Rattus norvegicus: one gene and its partner. The protein of the gene in region 1 binds, or shares a complex with, the protein of each later gene. Links are inferred from orthologs where the notes say so. Each region holds a gene or a part of one and is shown on either strand. Other genes may lie near its edges.

Evidence for each region.
Region 2: the proteins of Tuba1a (region 1) and Pierce1 are in contact, whole or in part, in a cryo-EM structure (PDB 7UNG), measured with the Homo sapiens proteins. The link is inferred for Rattus norvegicus from reciprocal best matches to the Homo sapiens genes TUBA1A and PIERCE1. Residues at the interface, in NP_001257328.1 of Homo sapiens: Met1, Arg2, Gln15, Asn18, Ala19, Glu22, Cys25, Leu26, Glu27, His28, Gly29, Ile30, Gln31, Pro32, Asp33, Met36, Pro37, Asp39, Lys40, Asp46, Asp47, Ser48, Asn50, Glu77, Gly81, Thr82, Tyr83, Tyr224, Thr225, Asn228; in NP_001041730.1 of Homo sapiens: Tyr28, Pro35, Gly36, Arg37, Phe38, Trp43, Phe44, Arg45, Gly46, Tyr47, Arg48, Thr58, Ser59, Asn60, Gln61, Ala62, Tyr63, Gly64, Arg66, His71, Glu72, Pro74, Phe77, Tyr78, Pro79, Asn80, Ser81, Asn82, Lys83.

What each region holds. Positions count from the first base shown.
Region 1 is NC_086025.1:131,992,960-131,996,671, forward strand, and holds the start of Tuba1a (tubulin alpha-1A chain), read right to left. Parts: upstream 2,861-3,712; 5' UTR 2,795-2,860; coding exon 2,792-2,794; intron 1,038-2,791; coding exon 815-1,037; intron 684-814; coding exon 535-683; intron 370-534; coding exon 1-369. UniProt on the Homo sapiens protein: Tubulin is the major constituent of microtubules, a cylinder consisting of laterally associated linear protofilaments composed of alpha- and beta-tubulin heterodimers.
Region 2 is NC_086021.1:32,197,175-32,200,922, forward strand, and holds the start of Pierce1 (piercer of microtubule wall 1 protein), read right to left. Parts: upstream 2,388-3,748; 5' UTR 2,320-2,387; coding exon 2,177-2,319; intron 1,438-2,176; coding exon 1,359-1,437; intron 1-1,358. UniProt on the Homo sapiens protein: Microtubule inner protein involved in the attachment of outer dynein arms (ODAs) to dynein-decorated doublet microtubules (DMTs) in cilia axoneme, which is required for motile cilia beating.

The DNA of each region.
Region 1 (3,712 bases):
CAGGGCCCCATCAAATCTGAGGGAAGCAGTGATGGAAGACACAATTTGACCTATCAACCTGTTTAAGTTAGTGTAGGTTGGGCGCTCAATGTCGAGGTTTCTACGACAGATGTCATAGATGGCCTCATTGTCTACCATGAAGGCACAATCAGAGTGCTCCAGGGTGGTGTGGGTGGTGAGGATGGAATTGTAGGGCTCAACCACAGCAGTGGAAACCTGGGGGGCTGGGTAAATGGAGAACTCCAGCTTGGACTTCTTTCCGTAGTCGACAGAGAGCCGCTCCATCAGCAGGGAGGTGAACCCAGAGCCAGTTCCCCCACCAAAGCTGTGGAAAACCAAGAAGCCCTGGAGACCCGTGCACTGGTCAGCCTGTGGGAGAAAAGGACATATAATGTCTTATTACCAGGGCATACACTATTTCAATTCCTTTAGACTGTGAGCCATCTCTACCTGATAGGAAAGACCTGACACATTTTGACAGATACCAAGACACCCTCCCACTGCATTTTAAACCCATCCACATAGGGCATTTACCAGCTTGCGAATTCTGTCCAAGACAAGGTCAATGATCTCCTTGCCAATGGTGTAGTGGCCACGGGCATAGTTATTGGCAGCATCTTCCTTGCCTGTGATGAGCTGCTCTGGGTGGAAGAGCTGGCGGTAGGTGCCAGTGCGAACTTCATCTGAAAAAGGAGAAGACATCAGCCATCACCACCAAGGACCCCACAAGCTCACTCACCCTTCCGGGTCTGGAGAGACATTCTGAGTATGTGACCAAGAAGGACTGCCCCAGGGAAGCCCCCAGTCCACTTACCAATAACTGTGGGTTCCAGGTCTACGAACACCGCCCGGGGCACGTGCTTGCCAGCTCCTGTCTCACTGAAGAAGGTGTTGAAGGAGTCATCTCCTCCCCCAATGGTCTTGTCGCTTGGCATCTGGCCATCAGGCTGGATGCCATGTTCCAGGCAGTAGAGCTCCCAGCAGGCATTGCCGATCTGGACACCAGCCTGGCCGACGTGGATGGAGATACACTCACGCTGTGGAAAGGGGGAAAAAATATCATAAAATTAAGTTGTTGTAATATTAAGCTGTACTTCTATTTTAGATTTTAATAGATTTCTAAAGTGTTTCTAAAAATACAAACATTGTTTAAATTTATTTAGTGTCATATCCCTAATATGACAGACACAATGAGGAAGGAGTACCCACTACCAATACTGAAAGTGGGTGTGGCCTCAATGTCACCTTAGTACTGCTTAAGACATGGTGCCAACCCATTGTTCCCATAGCAGTGTTTGAATAGAAGTCTTCATATTTGAAAAATATTCAAAACATAGATTCTGTAAAATGAAATAATTACCCGAAATTACATTAATTGCTTCTTTTCTTGTTAAGTAAGGATGAAGGTTTCATCCTACAGGACCTGGTATTTCAACGTGGACATCTGCAGTGCGGCTGAGGCCAGCAGCCACACCCTTCTGTGGACCCCATTAGTACTCTGGCTAAGCTGCAAGCTAGACCGAGTCTCACAAAGTTTAAGGTTTCATCCTATAGGACCTGGTATTTCAATGTGGACATCTGCAGTGCGGCTGAGGCCAGCAGCCACACCCTTCTGTGGGCCCGGTCAGTACTAGGCTAGGTTACCTGCTATTGAGTCTGACTTCTGCATTGCCGCGTTCTCTGTGCCTGGCTCTAGCCTGTGGTCTGTTACATTATTTAACAGAGAAAGCTCTATTTCCAGAAGCTGTCTACGTGATCTCTTTGTGCAGCTTTCTGCGTGCCTCCCAACCCTGCCTGGGGCCATCTGCCTGAATTAATGAATGAGTGTCATATATTAGAACAAAAGGCAGTCGGGTGCAGAGTATCATTTTTTTTTTCTTTGCAGCAGAATCATTATGGTTTTTGAAGGTTTTCTATTGGATGGGACGGAAACATTCTTAAAGCAGGCTAAGTTAGAAACACAGTGCACACAATTAGTGCCAACAATTAAAAAAAAAACAAGTGAAAAGATAACTAATATTTAAAAGTAGAAAATAGTATTTTTATCCGATGAATCTCTACATACAACATAATAAACCACTATTCTATAGAGAGAGACACTTCTGCCTTGGAGGGACAACTTTCATTGTCTGCGGGGGTTGGGGGCGGGGAAGGGCGTTTCCCTGGGTTCTGACCGTCAGCTACTCGGGCTTCACAAAGTGGGCTTTGTCATTCCCAACCATCCAGCTCCCCTCCCCCCACCCAGCGAGATGGCCCCGTGGAGCATCTCGTAAGACTACAATTCCCCAACGATTCTTTTTAAAAATAAAAATTAATAATAATAATAATAAAAAACCCAGCTCGGGAGTGAGGCTTAGTGAGAGCGAACCCCTCCCAAAACGCCACGGAAGCAAGAGACAAACAACCCCGCCCCTGCGCCTCCCTGACAGCGGCTGCCATGGATCCCAGGCAAACTATTTTCCCAGCGAGTTAGGGCGGCGTTTCTGGAGTGCGGGCTCGGCCGCCGCCCTGCCCTCCTGCTGCAGCAGACCCTGCGGCACCCTCCCTCTCCCCCGCCGGTCCCCTGTGGTCCCGGGCTCTGCCAGCAATCGCTCGCCGGCGCAGCCTTTGTTCTTCCCGGTCTGGGCGTTTCCGTGTCCCGCACTGCGGCGGCGGGACTCACGGACTAAGCTAAACTTAAAGCATCCAGACCACCCTTCCCCGCAGAGATGACAAAAGGCTTAGGCGTCTCCTTGCAGACTGAGCCGGCTGACACCCACCCGCTCCTGAGAGCCCGGGAAGGTTTGCTCACCATGGTTGCTGCTTCGCGGCTGCCGGGTGGATGGCGGAGGCGAGGAGGAGGTGTTGCTTCTTACAGCGCGACTCTTAAGCGGTCGATGTAAGAGAACCTGCGGCACTTGGGCGGATGCGCCTCCTTATATACAGCTCGGTCACCATGGGGATGGGCCAAGGCCTTTTCCTGTTGGTCCAGACCCCTCCGTCTGCCCAGAGAAGCCGCGACAGGAGAGTGGTGATTGGTGCAAGCGACATGGTATGAGGTAATCTCTCCCCCCTTCCCCCCCTCGCTAGCATCCGTAGATTTTGCATCCTTCAGACAAAGGCCTCGCAAAAGCAACTAGCCGAGCATCCATTATGGGGTGGAGCTGGGGAGGGGTAGAGAGGGAAGAAAGAAAACGGGGGTTGGGTGATTATACGGAGCTTAAACCTTAAACTGTAGTTAGGATAATTTAAGGTTTTCCCCAACACTTAATCACAGAATTTGTGTTGAGATTCTTTATGGTAAATTCCAGCTTTTCATTTATACTACACTAAATTTAAATACGTTCCGTCAGGATTCAACATCTCTGTTCGCTTTAAATAAAGTAGCAAGAGCTATGGGAATGATGGTCAAAAAGGCGTGGGTAAATGTTTAGTTTTACAGTTGTATTATTGTGGTTATTATTATTATTACTATTATTATTAATATTTGAGCAAAATTCAGAAGCTCAGTATGAATAGACCACGCCTATGACCCTCAACAGCACCTGGGAGGCAGAGGCAGGAAGACTTGCAGCTCAAGGTCATCATAACCGCCCTTAGTGGTTTATGCCTGTAAATCCCAGCATTGGGAAGCGGAGGACTGCGGTTATTTTGTACCCGGCCTGGATATATAGTGTGATATCCTGTCTCAAAAACCAAAAACAAACAAAGAGAGAGAGAGAGAGAAAGGAAA
Region 2 (3,748 bases), on another chromosome or scaffold:
ATCAGTGCATTCTGACAGGTCTATAATAATAAATATCCACCATTGTAGTGTCATAGAGACTAATACTAAGAGCTGCTCACAGAGTGCAGTCAGACTGAGTCAGAAAGCTGAAAAGCCAACCCCCAAGAACAGGACTAAGAAGCAGGGAATACCTACCTCCTAGCTTGCCTCAGATACCTGCGTGCAGCCTGTGGCCCATCATGGCCTGCTAACCTGGCTGTAAAGCACCTAGCGTTAAAAAGAGTGGCCTCTTCTCAGTGGCCTTTTACAAAGGCAGAAGCAGAAGCCGGGGCTGTTGCTCACTGGGTAGAACATGATGTCTAACATTTGCAAAGCCCTGGCACTTCATGAAACAGGATGTGGGAGAGCACACCTCTAAACCAGCACTTGGGAGGTGGAGGCCAGAGGTTCAGGAGTTCAAAGCTTTGAACTGATTCAGAACTAGCTCTGGCTATCTTGAGACCATGTCTCAAAGAAAAAAGCTAAAGGTCCTTAATTGCTGAGCCTGGTGAAAGGAGAACCGACTCCTTTTCTTTTCTTTTTCTTTATTTTTTTAAGGTACAGTGTATTTTCTTTCCTTTTCTTAAGATTTTTTTATTTATTATAAATAAGTACACTGTAGCTGTCTTCAGACACACCAGAAAGGGGCATCAGATCCCATTACAGATGGTTGTAAGCCACCAAGTGGTTGCTGGGATTTGAACTCAGTACCTCTGGAAGAGCAGCCAGTGCTCTTAACTACTGAGGAGAGCCACCTCAAGAACCAACTCTTCCAAGTGGTCCTCTGACCTCCATACTTGTGTGCCATGGTACACCCCCACATCAAGACAAGGCCAATGCGATTTAAGACTGCATGGGCAGGGTTGGGGATTTAGCTCAGTGGTAGGGCGCTTGCCTAGCAAGTGCAAGGCCCTGGGTTCGGTCCCCAGCTCCGAAAAAAAAAAAAAAAAAAAAAAGACTGTATGGACAGCAGAACCCATGTTCCTGCTTCCCTCAGAAACACCTTGCATCTGGTCTTAGAACACTGAGTCCAGAAAATCTTTTAGTGGACATGCTCTTCAGAGGAGTTCTGCCACTCATACGAACACTGGGCTTCACTAATTTGCCTTTGGGAGCCCCTGCAAAGGTGTATGTGCCCATGTGAAGAAGTGCATGCCTGTCTGATGAGGAGGAGACTGTGGAAGCAAGTTTACCTGGACTTCTCTTTCTACAATATATTTTGCTTCGAAATTGTATTCTATCATTTCTCTGCCCTGCCTTGTTCTAACTCGATTGCGATTTGAAGTACCATGCATTTACAACGTGGGGATCCGCTCTTCCGATGGTACTTCGTCCTGGCATATGTGGCTTGCACTTACCGGCATCTCATGCGCTGTGGGAGCTCTGCTCCCATAGGTTTGGTTACTGGTCCTGTACATGGAAACAGCTTCATTGGTACTGTGGAAGAGAGATACACTGTTTCCCATCCAGCCTCAAAATAAGTCAGCCAAGTCATAGCCTGGAAGAATTTGATTGATGGAACTTTTAGGGCCATGTCCCCGTAGACAATACCCTCTCCCATCAGGCCTGCCTCTCTGGCCTCCTCTGCTGGCCGTGGCCCCTGATCCTTCCAAAGGGAACCCCTTCAGGATATGCAAATGCTGGAGGAGGGGTCTTGGTGGAACCTTGGCACAGACTGCCACTGCCAGGTTTGTTAGCTACCTCAGGGACATCTCGGTTTCCAGACCCCTATCACTCAGGAACCCCTCTGCTTTTGAGCTCCAACCTTACAGAGCTTCTGTCAGGTGGAGAGGAGGAAGGAAATCTAGTGTGTGAGGCTGTGGTCTGTGACAGAGAGGCTACCAGCAGCTCTTCTCCACACCGGAGGCCTCAAGCAAGCTGTGTAGAAAGGGGACGTGCCTGCACCTGCTTCACAGAAGTCAACGGCTTCCATCCTTATTTTCAAGAGAGACAGGCTGCTCTGTACAGGGTATAACTTTCAGGGAAGCTTTAAAACTGGAGACACCCCCTGCCTGCAACAAGGCTACATTCACACACGTTCACTCTTGTGGTGCTCAGACAGCAGGACCCTAATAGTAATGGTGACACGGGCACAGGGTTCATGTCTGACTTCTTTTGACCTCAGCAGCCAGGCACTTGGGAGTTCTCACACGCATGGCCAAAGCTAGGGCCTTACCTGTAGCCATGAAACCACCCCGGGTTGTTGAACCTGTCTGGGAGCTTCTCGCTAATGCGGTAGTAGTCGCTCGTTTTCTCTGGGGCAGGCTTAGCCTTGGGCTCCACCGGCTCGGCGCACTCTTGGGGGTTTTCTTCAGACATTTGGCCTCCCACAGGAAACTAGCCCAGGACAGTCAAGTCTGTGGCTACTGCGGCAGGGCGTCCTGTTGCTAGGCAACGAAGTCACCTGACCAGGAGGCGGAATGGTCTTTTGTAGTCTTTTGTGAGTTTTTTGGCTAGGAGCTGTAGTCAAGTCTAGAATCTTCCAGAGGGCGAATAACAAAGGAGACCGTGAGTTCTAAGCAAGGAATTCCAAGCGTCCACTTGCCGCTCCTCTGGGAGTTCCGCTGGTCTCTTTCTGGGACTGTGGGAACAACCCTGTATCATCCCAAAATGCACTAGGAAGTAGATCCCGGCTAATGAAACCTTAGATCCTGGGAGTTCACCAGCCAATAGGCAGGGATTAGCGGCTTCCAAGCTCTACCTGAGCAAGTCCTCACTAGTCTGTCGTTTACTGTACTGGCCATGGCTTCTCCTTGGCCTCCAACACCCCATACCCCCAACAACTCAGCCTAAATCTATTTGTGAGATGATACTAAATTTAGGGAATCCCAGGCCAAATACCGTTGAAATATAGCAAATGAGCTTGCGAGCCATGCACGTAGTTCACATGGAGGTTCAGACGCCAAGAGTGACTGGTCAATGAAGTGCTAGTGCAATGCCAGCAGGCAGCTCTCTGAGTTTGAGGCCAGCCTGGTTTACGAAGAGAGGTCTAGACCGGTCAGGGGTATATATCGAGACCCTGTCTTAACAACAATAATAACAATAAATAATTTTAAAACAAACAATAAAAACTACTTGAGGCAGAGTATGGTGGTGTGCACCAATAATTGCAACGCCCAGGAGATAGAGGCAGTCAGATCTCTATGAATGTCTGGCCAGTCAGGAAGATTGGTTTGTCGTCGTCGTCGTCATCACTGTTTAGTGTAATTTGGAGATGGAGAGATGGCTCAGCACTTAAGGGCATTTGTCGCTCTTGCGACAAATTGAACCTGGGTTCAATTCCCAGAGCCTACAAGGTGACTCAAACATCTTTAACTCTAGCTCCTGGAGGTCAGACACCTTCTTCTGATCTCCACGGGGACCAGGCACTCACAAGGTGCATATAAATACATATAGGCAAATAAATAAATAAATAAATAAATAAATAAATAAATAAATAAATAAATCAGTAAATCTAAAATAAATGTTAAAAAAGAAAAGAATGCAATTAAAAACCAAACAATAAACGGGGCGGTAGTAGGGCATGCCTTTAATCCCAGCTCTCTAGAGGCAGAGGCAGCCGGCTCTCTGAGTTCAAGCCAGCCTGATCTACAGAGTGAATTCCATGACAGTCAAGGCTACACAGAGAAACCCTGTCTCAGGAAAAAACGAAAACAAAAACAAAGAAAACCAAACAACAACCTCTCCCCCACTAAAAAACAATTTTGAATAAGAGGATGGTCTCCTCCAGAGGATGCTGTAATTTTAC